Linked DNA regions of Mytilus edulis. The protein of the gene in region 2 purifies or fractionates together with the protein of the main gene of each other region. This does not show direct contact. Links are inferred from orthologs where the notes say so. Each region holds a gene or a part of one and is shown on either strand. Other genes may lie near its edges.

Evidence for each region. The genes of interacting proteins can lie anywhere in the genome.
Region 1: the proteins of ubiquitin-protein ligase E3A-like (region 2) and proteasome subunit beta type-7-like purify together in Homo sapiens (affinity purification with mass spectrometry, with the first as the bait; 3 studies listed by BioGRID). This does not show direct contact. The link is inferred for Mytilus edulis from reciprocal best matches to the Homo sapiens genes UBE3A and PSMB7.

What each region holds. Positions count from the first base shown.
Region 1 is NC_092345.1:65,567,829-65,575,394, forward strand, and holds the start of proteasome subunit beta type-7-like, read left to right. Parts: upstream 1-4,549; 5' UTR 4,550-4,600; coding exon 4,601-4,659; intron 4,660-7,566. UniProt on the Homo sapiens protein: Component of the 20S core proteasome complex involved in the proteolytic degradation of most intracellular proteins. This complex plays numerous essential roles within the cell by associating with different regulatory particles.
Region 2 is NC_092351.1:84,602,443-84,609,403, reverse strand, and holds the start of ubiquitin-protein ligase E3A-like, read right to left. Parts: upstream 3,008-6,961; 5' UTR 2,876-3,007; coding exon 2,826-2,875; intron 1-2,825. Other genes in the region: NF-X1-type zinc finger protein NFXL1-like, read left to right, coding at 5,682-5,865. UniProt on the Homo sapiens protein: E3 ubiquitin-protein ligase which accepts ubiquitin from an E2 ubiquitin-conjugating enzyme in the form of a thioester and transfers it to its substrates.

The DNA.
Region 1 (7,566 bases), on a different chromosome or scaffold from region 2:
GGTTGTTCTCAGCTTAATAAAGAATATTCCGATAATTTTACCTTTTTTAGCCTCGCTCTACTCTGGGAACAGTATATCTAATATATTATATGAATATATATGTTCCTGCTCTGCTCGGCGAAAATTTAAGTTTGTGTCCCTCCTTACCTAAAATGCTGGATCTGCCCCTCATATGGTTTAGGGGTGGGGAGCTCGACCGTTTCCAAGTTATCAAACAGGAGGGGGTGGAGTGGCCCAAAGAATTCCACCTATATATCATATGATTCACTTACATTTAGGTATATATAATATTGTTGCATTATTTGTGAAAATAAAGAAACTTTCAGCTACTTTAATTGACCCTTCAAAATTGAGAAAAAAAAAATAACCCTTCGAAATTGCAGTAATATGTTTACACTTTAAAAGCATCTCACATGCATTATCATCATTTATCACTGATAAAGAAAATTTTAGACTGTGACCATGAACATGTATATTGTTAGATATACTGTTCCCAGCTGTCACATTGTATTGGATTTTTAAATTAAAATTTGTCAAAAAGTAATTTTGAGTTTCTGTATAAAATATTTTTCTGCTTTTTCTTTCTTTTACATATATCTTTTGGTTTACAATTCTAGTGTCTATATTCATTTAAATACCATGCATAGATTTATTTTTTCACCTGCTTTGAATGATCGCCAAACCCGGAATTTTCCTTATCCGCTTCCGGAATCGGATCCTATATTGTAAAATTTTGTCTTCACGGTCGCCATTGTTGTGTTTACAATGTTGTTTTTGTCAATCAGATACGATTTTACTCGAATTTATACAATATTTGTCGGCGAATTTCTGTATAAAGCTAGCGGTTGAACAAAATGAACATCGCTGTCATGAATAATAATGATAAAAATAAGTTTTTAGCTCGTTTAATTGGAGACTTTGGTGACTTGCATGGAGGGTTTGCAAAGTAATTTCTTATTTTCTTTCAAGTGGAAGGTAAGCGTCGGGCGATGCTAGAAACCAACTATCCTAGTCGAAATTCCGCTTGCAAAAGTGGAAGGTCGCGGACCTCGGACCACCGCTAATTTGCACACCTGCCTCCAAATTGAAAAGCTACGAAAATTTCTTTTTCTAATTTGAAATTGCCGCCAACTACTGACGTAATTGTACTACGTATTGATGACAAACAATATCCCTACGACTTTTGCCATTTGGGAAATCTAAACTACTTGTCTTAAGAGATTTTCGGCGATTAAATATTTCATACAATTGTTCTTTGACATCTTAGCTAAAAGCACAAGTCATAATGAACTACACAAGGATTCTTAATAAGCACTACTTCCTACGTGTAACTTCAAAACTTTTGGATAAATCGACGATCATTTAAGGTTTTTCTGGTCATATTTTTTGTAATCCAGAATAAAAAGTATTAAAAAAGTGTTCAATTAGTTATATATAACATAGTAGCGAGCTAGATAATAACAATGGAAAGTATTTCACCATTTATTGGGTAGAACACAAATCTAGGGTGCTCGCATAATGCAGCTTAACTGCATAAAAATCATTTCTAGTTTATCTTTTCCTTTGATCATGATCATCTGGTTTACTATTTCTGAATCTGTAATTTGCATTGTATAAAAGTAACATCCCAGGGTCAGATTAATAAATTTACAAAATTGTATCTTAAAAGATAATCAAAGGGCAGATTGCTCTGAGGAATACTATTGTCATTGTTTTCATTGACACATGTATTTATTATTTCAAAAATAATTCAACTGCACGTGTAAAAGAGGGACGAAAGATACCAGAAACTCATAAATGGAAAATAAACTGACAACGCCATGGCTAAAAATGAAAAAGACAAACAGACAAACAATAATACACATGACACAACATCGCAGTACTTATCACCTATTTTCCTATGTGAATTCTAGGTTGAACCCCATTCCTAACTCTTTTAATATTTAATTTCCTTTGGGTCAGTGGGCATTCCTCTGTTTAAATTGCGATTGGTTTTAATATAATACAACGTCTATCAACAGAAAGATTTTTTTTCTTGACGTATTGTCGTTGACAGATACTTACAGAAGCTAGGGAGACTAGTTGAGGGAGACAACACGAAGCGATAATATGGAAGACTCCATTTTGGCTGAAGGTGTGTTCTTATAACATCTTTACGTTGTGGACTACATTTCTTTTAATTTCAATGATGCATAAGATTTAAAATTATGCAACAACAATAACCCTCAATAGCAGACAGACATAGAAAGGATCTCGTGAGTTGGGAATCTAGAGCAACCATTCAATCTGATACCCTTTCAAGTCAAGAAAACTATATGCATGCGCATAATTACCTAAACAAACTAGACTTGTGATTTGTAGCAAGGACATATATAAAATGTTAATAAAACGACCTCCATTTCCATGATTTCTTTATGGAAGTACAATATCAAATATCAGTTTCATAACGGTGAGGGCATGGGCCTGAGTCAATGGTATAAGTCTACAGATTGCTTAAAAGCAATCCCATCCCAAAAATAAAAGAAGAAATCAATATTAGTCATTATCATTATTTTTTTTAATGTAAAAGAAAACTAAAGAAACAAATATTAATGGAATAAGATGAAATACATACATGTTTGATAAATCATCTCTTAAAATTTTACAAGTCTGATAAACATGATAAAAACTTTATCATCATGATCATAATCAGGCGCGGATCCAGAGGGGGGTTCCGGGGGTTGGAACCCCCCCTTTTTTTTTGGACGATCAATGCATTTGAATGGGGACATATAGTTGGAACCCCCCCCTTTGTCCTGGGTTAGGAACCCCCCCTTTTTAAAATGGCTGGATCCGCCCCTGATAATCATGGCTAAAAGTAAAACTTGTAAACATGGTTAAAATCATAAAGTTATTTTTCAAAGTTATAAAAATGAAAATAAATGAAAATATATACAACACCTTTTCTATAGCATAAAATTATAAACATGATAAATGGGGAATGTGTTCATGGGACCCAGAAGATGCCCCTGCTTGCATATCATTATAAAGGGACATTACTGAACATGCTGAAGAACAGAAAAAGTGACTCTACCAAAATTTGAACTAAATCATGTTAATCTGAGTTTTGTGGTAATAAGACATGTAAGAATTGTGCAAAAGTTTCATAAAATTTGGTTTATGCAAACTTAATTTAGACATGTAAGAGAACAGATACAAAACATTCAGCAATTTTTCCATTCATAAAGGGGCATAACTCTAAAAATTTTAGTGACAACTTTTGTGGTAAGAAGCATAGTGTAAAATTTTCATAACATTTGGTTGAGGGAAACACAAAATTCAGCAATTTTTCCATTTGTCATGTTTGTGAAGGAGCATTACTCTAGAATGGTTAAAGTGAGGCCCCCCCCCCAAATTCAAACTTGATCTTTATTTTGTTGTTTTATTAGCATTGTGTATACATATATACTTAGTAAAGTTGAAGATGAGCTTCATTTCTTATTAGAATGCCCTCTTTATGATATTCAAAGGGACGATTTTTTTAAAGACATTTCTAACAATTGTTGTAATTTTACAAATTTAAATCAATCTTCTAAATTTGTACATGTTGTATGGCTCTTGACCCAAGAAAATGTTACTCTTATGGAAAAACTGGGCTGTTATATTTGTGACTGTTTTGAATTAAGGAGATCAGGTATGAACACTGACACTAAGTCAAGTAAATAATTTGAGAATTAATACATATACATGTATAATGTAATTTTATTATTCTTTTATTCACAATATATACAATGTGTGTGGTTTTTAGCTTGATTCTGACCAACGCTTATATTCCAAATATATATGTATATGCCACTATTGTTGTTGTTACCAATTATGTAAATCAATTGTATCTGATTTTATGCCCTTTATGGGCCCTGTAATTTGGGAAATAAAAATATTCTATTCTTTTCTATTCTATATATGTAAGTTTGATTGCATTTGGTTGAGGCAAACTTAAGTCAGAGAACGGAAATGAAAAATACATAGTCTGAAAATAACACCAAACAGTGTTAGAGTTAGGTTTTCTGCTGATAAATTTTTGTCTGTCCCTCAACAGGATTTTAACTTACACCTTTAATACACTACAGCACCAATTGCTTAGCCTCATGTCCAGTGCTCTAGACCACTCGACCAAATCCGCTGTATAAAAATATAACTTCAATAGTCGTAGTGTTATCTTTTCACAGAAGGCGAATCTAGAGATAGACATAAGACACGTGTAATTTATATATATATATGACATGTAAACTGTACCATGACATAGTCAGCAGATAATTTCCACTGGAACTGTAGTTTTTGATAGCTAATGCAGGAAGAGTTCACCAAACAAACAAGCATATTTGTACAAACAAAATTAAAAAATCAAATTATTTAGTGTTGCATAATTATTCTGCATTACTTTCTTGATCTTCTTTCTTCTTCAAGTTCTTGGTTAAAGAAAAATAAGAAATCTCCCGCAAAATGTAGTTGTTATCAATAATGCAAGAAGAGTTCCGAGCGAATATTTCATCTGGTTGCCGGTCAATGATTACTATGATTCGTGAGACTCAACTCTCCAAGGTACCAGATACAATATTGAATGATGGCTGCCCTCACAGAGTTACCAACCGGTGGTTTTAATTTCGATAATTGCCAGAGGTTTAACTATTTTTAGATATAATAATGATGAATGTTCAAATGACGCCTTTTCAGCATTATCTTTAAATATAAATTTCCCTTCTTTCAGTACCCTGGAAACGATTATCTTCTCATTTGAAAACGACAAGCAATGACTATGCAACTTTGTGTGAAAAAAATATTTATTTGTATACAAAAATGACAAATTTAACGAATTTTCATTTTGATCTACAAGAAAAAAGCTCAGAGGGTTTTCAAATGTGATGATTTCTTCAGCATTGTATATGTATTTTGTGGTGGGAGCTGTTGGTCTTCAAAATTACAGACAATAGACTCTTATTTTTTTTTTATTGTCCAAATAATTTATAATTTTAATGTCTGGCAAAGCTATTTTATTATTTTTCTGTGATGCCGTCCTACGACTTCATAAGGCTGAAGCCATTTTTCACGTCTGGACTTTAAGAGCAAATTTTGGGGGTAACTTTGAGACATAATTTTGACAAGAATTTTTTACATAGTTTCAATGTCCTACCTTTTTTGTGATTATCACTTTTACATTGTGGCGTCAGATGTTTTGTATTATGACGTCAATATTTAAAGGAACCTTTGTGATGTCCAGTAATGGCTGACAAATAGCGATAAGGTGTATTAATACAATAGAAAACCCAATTCAATTAATATTTTACTGAGTGTTTAAAAACCCAATTCATTCAAAGTAGAACCCAATTATTCATGTTATTTATTAAAACTATGCATTCTGCATTTCACAACCCTTTAAGTTGCTGTTACATTCGTTATTTATCTTGAATGATGAATTATTTTTGTGTGATTTATAAATTTCTATTTTTGTATTTTAAAGAAATCTACTTTTTGTTCTTAAAATAGAGCACTTTTAAATAAACCATTGTAATTACTCTGGAGATTTTTGCTCAATTACATGTACTTTAATGTAAATATAAATGAAGCGATAAGGGTTGAGAAGTTACAAATGGCAGATCTAACATGGGTAACTGAGTCCTTGTTTGATTCATTAAACATTTGTCCATTGCTAAAATTTGTAGCTCTTTATTTAAAACAAAAATGCACTATTTCATAAAAATTTTCTTTTTATAACACTAAGGCCAGGGTTTTTTAATTTGTTGGTTTACGGATTTTACCCATGAAAAAGTCGAGTCGGTCGGTCGGAAAAAAAAGAAAAAAAAATATCTTTCAAGACAGAAAAATATGGAAAACAAATATATATTTTATCTTTCTAACAATATGTTTGTGATGCTATTTTATCATCATTTCTTAGATTTTAGTTCGATGAAATCAGCTGTCATAAACATCGCATGACATTCTAATAATTTCCCGTAAACAAAAGGGGGGGGGGGGGGGGGTGCACGTACAAAGAAAATTAATTTCAGAAAACTTGGCGAATTATGATCTTCAAGCACAAAAACTGATAAAGAAAAAAAAATGTAAAAACGTCACGAGTATGAAAGTAAGTTTCAACACACGTGTCAACAAACGTAATAGACTCGTCCACTGGAAAAAACGAGGATATCGGGTTAATCTGTGTCATGCATTACTGTTTTCACAGTGTAGATACTATTCTGTACGCTATCCGGAAGTCGCGATTTTCGAAGCGAGAACTTTTTGGATCACATTTTAAATTTGATAGGTATACTGAATTAAACGGTAAGTTGATCATCTGTACATTGCTTAATGATTAATTCAGCTGGCATCGATATTTTCAAATGGTTAAGAATTAAATTCCGCACAATCATTATTCGTATCTTTGCCTTAATCAAGAGATTTTCAAGTGCATCACTAAGAAAAATCAGTCGGCGAACCTAAACACAATCTTTTTACCCTCTTAGTGTACAAATCAACATAAAAACCTGACTTAATTAACTAAATGAAGTATATTTCAAGTGGTGGTAAAAGTTTCAACCAGATCTTTGAAGCCAGAAATAAGAAAATTACACTTGTTTGAATTTCTCACTGTACGATCAGTCTCGCTTGTATATTTAAAACTGTATGATCAGTCTTTATGTCACTGTATTCTAGTGGTGATTTCAAAGTTATTTACGATACATTAGAAGGTGGCATTTTTCTAAATAACACAAATATATTTCAATGAATTCACATCCTGAAAACTTATGAAACATGTTTTAGCTTTATAGGGTGTACTCGACTTACTACATTAAGAATAAGGATGTTTAAATGTTGCTAAAATAAGAGAAAGGTTTGATGTATACTAGTATATAAGTTTCAGAAATGTCCTCCGTTATTCTTAAAATTGTACAAACACACAGATTTAGTTGTTATATAAAAATGCATGTATTTACACACATTCGAGGCCGTACTGTAGCCAATAATTGATCACAGATGTAGAGCTGTCTCTTTGACACTCAATTGTCCACCACTTTGTCAAGCGGGGGGTTATAGTGATAAAGAATTCCGTCTTTCCGTTCGTCCGTTGGACCGGTACAATATGTTTCGCCAGTTTGGTAAGCGCATCTTCTCATAAATAACTTAATATACATTGGGGGTTCCGGCCATTTTTAAATGGAGAGGGGATCCAATCCAGGAGAAAAGGGGATTCCATTTATGTTATCATAAATGATAATGACTGTATTGTGAACCGTCTATTTCAAATTTTAGTAAAAATCTTGTATGGGGTTACTTTATATAAGATACGGACTTGAACATTGCATTATATGGGGACACCCATCAGGTATTTCCAACACCTCCTAAACCAATCATTAAACTTTTCTGAAATTGCTCCATTTTTACTCGATTAATGCATTATGGACCTTCTATTTCTGTAAACTTACCAAAATTATATCACATGAATTATCCCCCTACGCAAAGCTGTCTTTATCCATTTTTTGTTATTTTAAAAGAGACAATCTTGATTTATGTTATCATCAATTGTTCAAC
Region 2 (6,961 bases):
AATTACATGAATTTGGGATAGATAAGTACCCTGATACGTCTTATAGTACATGTAGTAATGTGAATTCACACTCAAATATAAGAGAAAAATTTTAAATTTTTGCGGTCGTATAAAAACTATCATTGTTGTGAATAAAACAGATTGAGGTAACAAAATCTTTCTAAACATATACATGTATACATGGTATATGATCATGAAGATAAGAATAAGAAAATGTAGGTAAATATTAAAAGAAGTAAGTTCAGCAAGGGCTGTATTTGGCTGTGATTATTAAATTGAATGGTACAAGATCAAATATGTTTTAACAATGTTTAAGTTGTCTTATCCCTTCCAGCTGCCTTGACAGAATCTACCCGAGATGATGGCTTGCCTGCCTATTATGACACAAGTGGCCCTTCATATTAAATATTGTCTGTATTTATTTTTTTTCTTCATTTTATTCACTTACATGTACACCATGTTCACAGTTTGTTCATCTTTTGACACAAATGTTTAATATGGGGACAAAGTCCCCCATTACAGTAGAAAATTCAATAAAAAATTTTTTTTTTAAAATCGGGAAAATTTCCCGAATTTTTCATTGTACCTAATGAACTCAAAATCATTCAAAAAAAAATTTCTTGTGTTTTGAATTTCCAGATTTGCGAAGAAATCTACTTCCGTTTCCGGTCTTGTTTGCATGAGACTTTGAATAAAATGTATATTAATCAGTCTAACATGTCTAAGAAAGGAACTTATATTAATACTAATTCGTTTTTAAAAATTGTTTGTTATAAAAAAAAAAAAAAATTACCTGCTGACAGCATTTCTTTGATTACATTGAATATGACGTCATGACTTAAAAAACGTCACAACTAAAATCCCTTACAACAGAACCAAAATCGGAAACGATATTTCCGTTTCTCTTTTTAACATGTTTGATTTTTTTTTAAATCATACAGAATTCGTCCCCATTCACAGGTAATGCCTGCCTCATCTTATTATTTTTCTTTGTAAACAATTAACAATGATTAAAATTTGCTAATTTTGGGCATTTTTTTATATGAAATTCTCAAAATTACACTATTATCTTGTTGATATATTGGTCAATAAATTCATAATTTGAAATTTAAGGGGAAAAGAGGGCCATTTTAGAGCCTTATCAAACCAACTGTAAACAACAAACATGACAAAGGCTCTTTAACCCTATACACCTTATTGCTATTTGTCTGCCATTACTGTATATCACATGTTTCCGTAAAATTTTGACGTCACAAAAAAAAATATCTGACACCACAATCAGTCAGGGGACTTACTTAAATGAGTGATTTTCTAAATCACTGATTCAAGTAACATTATGTTCATAGAGGTTGAAAGTAAGAGTTGTCTTTCTTTAATAATCACCTATTTAAGTAGTACAAATTTATCACTAGAATAAGTGATTTAATTTTATTGTAGTTTTAAATATAGAATATTAATGATCCAGGGACTAATTATGTTTCTAAACTTATCAGAACCAACATCTGTGTTGTTTAGGATGACCAGGTCATGTCAGATGATGACCTTGTACTGAATCTGGGATAATGACATAAAAATCACTTGTTTAAGTATCATACCTCAATTTCCTTCCAAAAAATCACTTCTTTAAGTATCATTATTCTAATAACCCCCACTACTTTCAACAACCTCGAACAGTGAAATTTTTATCGCGAACAGTAGAATTTTATTACATAATCTGAAAGATGAAACCTTGAACTTTACAGGAAAAATACTCCCACTGCTGGGAAAAATCTGTTAATAAAGTATCAGTTCATTAAGTTAAGCCATTATTATAGCATTTTTTCCAATAAAATAGAATTTACAGCTAAATGATAGCATCAAAGGCATAAACCTTGCTACTTTAAAGAAGCAAAAGTTTTTTTTTTCAATTTTACTAATGAAAACATATTATCTAAACCTATGTGTTTAAAATTTTAGTAAAACTACAAAATCACAATTTATGACAAAATTTTGAATTTGCTACTTTATAAATAAGTGATTTATAAATCACTTATTTCAGTAAATAAGTGATTTACAAATCACTTATTTCAGTAAGTCCCCTGACTGACAATTGAAAAGTGATTGTTGTATGCGTCAAAAGTTCAAGCGGCCGGGTCAGCCGGGATTAGCGATAAGGTGTACAGTATTGCTGACGGTGGGACACATATGTCCATGTTTTAATGTATGCAAGCTTCTCATCATTGCTGTACCTCTTTCAAAATAAAAGACCGAAAATTAAAAAGTGTTTCTACAATCAAATGTTAATACAGTCATTACGGCATGACATCATATATCTAATAACCATTGTTTGGCATGTCACGTCACATTAACTTCGAGCGATCATATTTTCTGGCATGTGTCAGAAATGCAACCCTGAAAAACAACTGGCAGCAAGAGGGTTACATATAAATTTTATAAAAGTGCAACTTGTTTACATGGCCTCAGTCATGTCAGTGGAGCATGACTGAAACCACCAACACCGTCAGCAATATTACTGACATGTGTTACAACTTTCAAATACATTTTGTATCTTAATTCTTTCAACAAACAACAGATCCAAATGTGGAATTTTGCATGACAAAAAAAATAAGTTTACTTGGTGTTGTTTGGTTTTTTGTTTGGATTCATTGTCAAATGTGTCAACCACTCATTCCATGTTATTTCAATTTTTGAGGAACTTGTGTATTTATTTATTAGTAAAACAAATGGCGTATTGCGTAGTCAGGATTTCCTTAACTTTCGGTTTGATTTTCTGGTTGTCAACCTGGTCTATCAAATTTTGACAGTTTGGAGCTTCAAAGACCAACCTGGCGGCTTTTGTTCCGCTCTGATCTTCGGTTTTCTCGTTATTACTCATACGAATTTTTAATCTCCCCTTCTTATTTCGTCCATTCAGTCACCCAATAATGAATAAATGTGTTTTGAAAGGTCAAATATTTTTCTCAATTTCTAGAATTCGCCATTTTTGTTTTCTCGTTGAGGCGAGATTAATAATTTATTGTGAATGAATAATCATAACAATTTTCAAAATTATATATAAATACATTTTTATAGAGTTATATATAATAAACTACATTCCACTTGTTCTATATTACATTAATGTTTAAATTATAATGGACAGGTTCCCTGTTTCAACTATTTTAAATTCGGAACCACGATTCTTTTCCGGTTTGACTTTGAATTTATACAACTTCATGCCCACGAAGACGAAAGTCTGTCAAATTTTAATGAATTATATATGTATATTAACAATATGTCAGAGTAAGTGACAATGCAAACAGTGCAAAATATTCAATTCAACCCCAGTGTTATATAATTACCCATTTATGACATATAAAAAACTGCAGTAGGCACAATTCGTGAAACTTTATTTATTTTGCCACTCAGTGCCAGACTGTGTGGCAGACAGTCAGAGCACAGTTCTGACACAGGGGCGGATGCAGTAATTTTCGAAAGGGGGCGTGCTAACCCAGGGCAAAGGGGGGGTGCAAAACATATTTCCCGATACAAATGCATTGATCGGCAAAAATAAAGGGGGGGTGCGCACCCCCGGAACCCCAACTGGATCCGCCACTGTGACATAGACCAAATAATGATAACGTCTCACAAGGCTATTACATGTGTGTTTTTTTACACCTTTCAGTGACATAAGACACAAAAGCAAAATAAAATGAAATGGCCTTTCAAAAGAGAGGCGAAAGACCAAAGGGACAGTCAAACTCATCTATAGATCAAAAATACAAAAATACACTGACAATGCCATGGCTTAAAAATTTCAAGACAAACAGACAAACAACAGTATACCAGACACAACATAGAAAACAATAAATTGAGCAACACAAACCATACCAAATACTGAGGGTTATCTCATGTGCTCTGGAAGGGTAAGCAGATCCTGCTCCACAGTGTTGTTCAATTGTTCCCTTTTTACGAATGTGACCAACCGATTTAGACTATTTACTGGATTTCTAATAATTAACATGAAATCGGTTGGTCACATTCGTAAAAAGGGAACAGGTTTATATTATGACATAAGGAACATATCCGATATTTTTTCAGATATATATCATCTGTGAAACTGATATTTCATAATGGTGAACCAACTTGTGATGGCACCAGTAATATTTACTTCACCATTTGGAACTCTTGGTTAAAGATGTCATAATCATTTGGACTATTAAGGACTGACAGAAAGCAAATTTAACTTTTTGCATATAATTATTTATTGGTACATGTACATGTATTGCTGTACTATATATTTTAAACATGTTAAATGTTATCTGGTTATGTTTGTTATAAAAATATATATATTTCCCAATAGATTTGTGTGTGTGTGTGTGTGTGTTTACTAATACTCTTCTGCAAACACACATTTAGGGTGCTTCACTCTAGCTGCTAAACTGTATCTCTGAGGTCTTTATAATATTCTCATGATTCTTTTGACAATTTACAGGGTGCCATCTATTGTATACAATTTGTCATAAATAATCATACATGTCATAAGGACATATGAGATATGGTTTAAAAGCTAGCTCTAGCCCAAATAATAATCATTGATAATGATGTCTTGAAAAGGTATTCATTTTTAGCTTTGACATCTAGACCAAACACAACTTTTGAGAGAATTTTGCTGTCAACTTTGAGACCCAATATTGCAACAAAATATTCACTAGCGTGACAGCACCAGAGGCATTTATGTATACCATATATCAATGTATATACAATTTAAGTACATTTCACAAATAGAATTATGTCATTAAACCATATAAATATTACACTACATATGCATGTACACCTTTTCTTTTAAAAAAACATGTTTATATTTAAAATATGAAAAATTAAACCCAAGTGAAATAATGCCTGGTAAATCTTCTGCCAGTAGTTTTCTGAAAGTTTTAAAGTGGATACCTGGCCTATAAAATTGAGAATGGAAATGGGGAATGTGTCAAGGAATCAACAACCCGACCATAGAACAGACAACAGCAGAAGGTCACCAAAAGGTCTCAATGCAGCGAGAAATTCCTGCACCTGGAGGCTTCCTTCAGCTAGCCCCTGCAGGGTTGTTACGATTAAAACAATAAATATAGAAGGTCCTATAATAACACAAATTTTTTTTATTGCGAAAATGCAACAGGGTTATAATCGCAATGATTAAAACTTGCATTTTAAATTTTTTTAAATGAATTAAACAGGATTTTTCTCAATATCGCAAAGATAAAAATCGTATTTAAGTCTTAAATGACAATGAATGACAAGATTGCAATTATAAGTGCACCCAATAATTTCTAAATTTACAGTATTTGTTGATATTTGATTTTGTGTGTTTACCAAACTGCATGCAAACCTAGGTTGGTAAGGCTGGGACATATTGTCTTTACACTTTTCATGCTGTTCAAAGGTTCAGGTACGTTATATATACTGAATTTATAGCCTTTTGCAGTAAATATAAATCCTAAAAATTACAAATTTAGACCTCTATGAGTCAAAAGCAGATTCAGACTTATTTATGTCTGAGCTCTGACTGTGAAATCTATTCACACTGTTAGGTTGTTCCTTTATTATTTGATTTGATATTGAGTTTAATGGCTATATATATATGTAAAAAAAATTCTATGTTTCACTTACATTGACTTTATTTCAGTGTTACTAAAGTAAAATAGAAAATGTCTGGAGTTCCTGTTTATCTGAAAGGAGGCGGCAGGGGCAGAGGTCGTGGAAATGTAGAACAAAACAAAGCTAAATGGACAAATGGCGGTAGCTCTGAAAACAATGTCAAGGACGATGGATGGAAAAATGGTGTTGCCAGCAAACAACCAAAAAAAGAAATATCGCAGACCAGTATCAATGGTATGTTTCCCTTTACCATGTTTACATGTAACAATGTTTAGGATAAACATAAAAATAAGAAAATGTAATATGAGTGCCAATGAGACAATTTTTTATCCAATTCACAATGTGTTAAAAGGAAACAACTATAAGTCAAATTTGGCCTTGACTTACACTGAACAGCAAGCTAAAAATACATGTATGATAAAGAGCCCCAAATAGATTTGAGTTATGTAAAATAATTCAAACAGGTAAACCAATGGTCTAATTTATATAATAAACCAGAAACACTTATGAACCACATCAGCAAATGACAACCACTGAACATCAGGTTCCTGACTTAGGACAGGTCCAAATAAATGCAGCAGGGTTTGAATGTTGCATAGTTGCCTACCTTCACCCAACCTGAAACCATAGTGTAACATCACAACATAGAAACACACACTATGAAATATCAACTCAATCAAAAGACAGATTAACAAAAACAAGTGAACATACACTGAAAGAATAATTTTGATCTATTACACAATGCAAATTTATACAAAATTAATAAAACATATCATGGATTTCCTTTTGCAGTGATTAATGTATTAAAGCATCAAAGCTAAGAATAAGGACAATGAAGGAGATGAGGTATGCTCATTGCCAATGAAACAACTGTCCACCATTTTCCACCTAAGATCAAATAAAGTGGATGTAAACAATTATAGACAACTGTACATCCTTCAACAATGAGAAATATATAAAAAACTCACATGATTCAATGTCAAACTTGATTGTAATTGAAATTAAATAAAAATAGAAAGATTTTACTTTTGGATCAATATTCCACATCAATTGACCTACCATCAAAGTAACAGATAATGCTAAAGATGATGCTGTCCATGGTGATAGTCATATTTCTATACTCATTCTTCTCGGAACACTTACAGCTAATTTCCTAATGCATGTAGAACAAAACTTTGGTTAGCTTGCTTACTTTGTTTGTATATTGTACAATCATTAGGATAACACCAAATTAAATTCAAATATGATATATACAGGTTAAACTATGCCTATATAAATTGTTTAAAGATGTCAATCTTATTTACGAAGCTTGTATAAACAATTATACAAA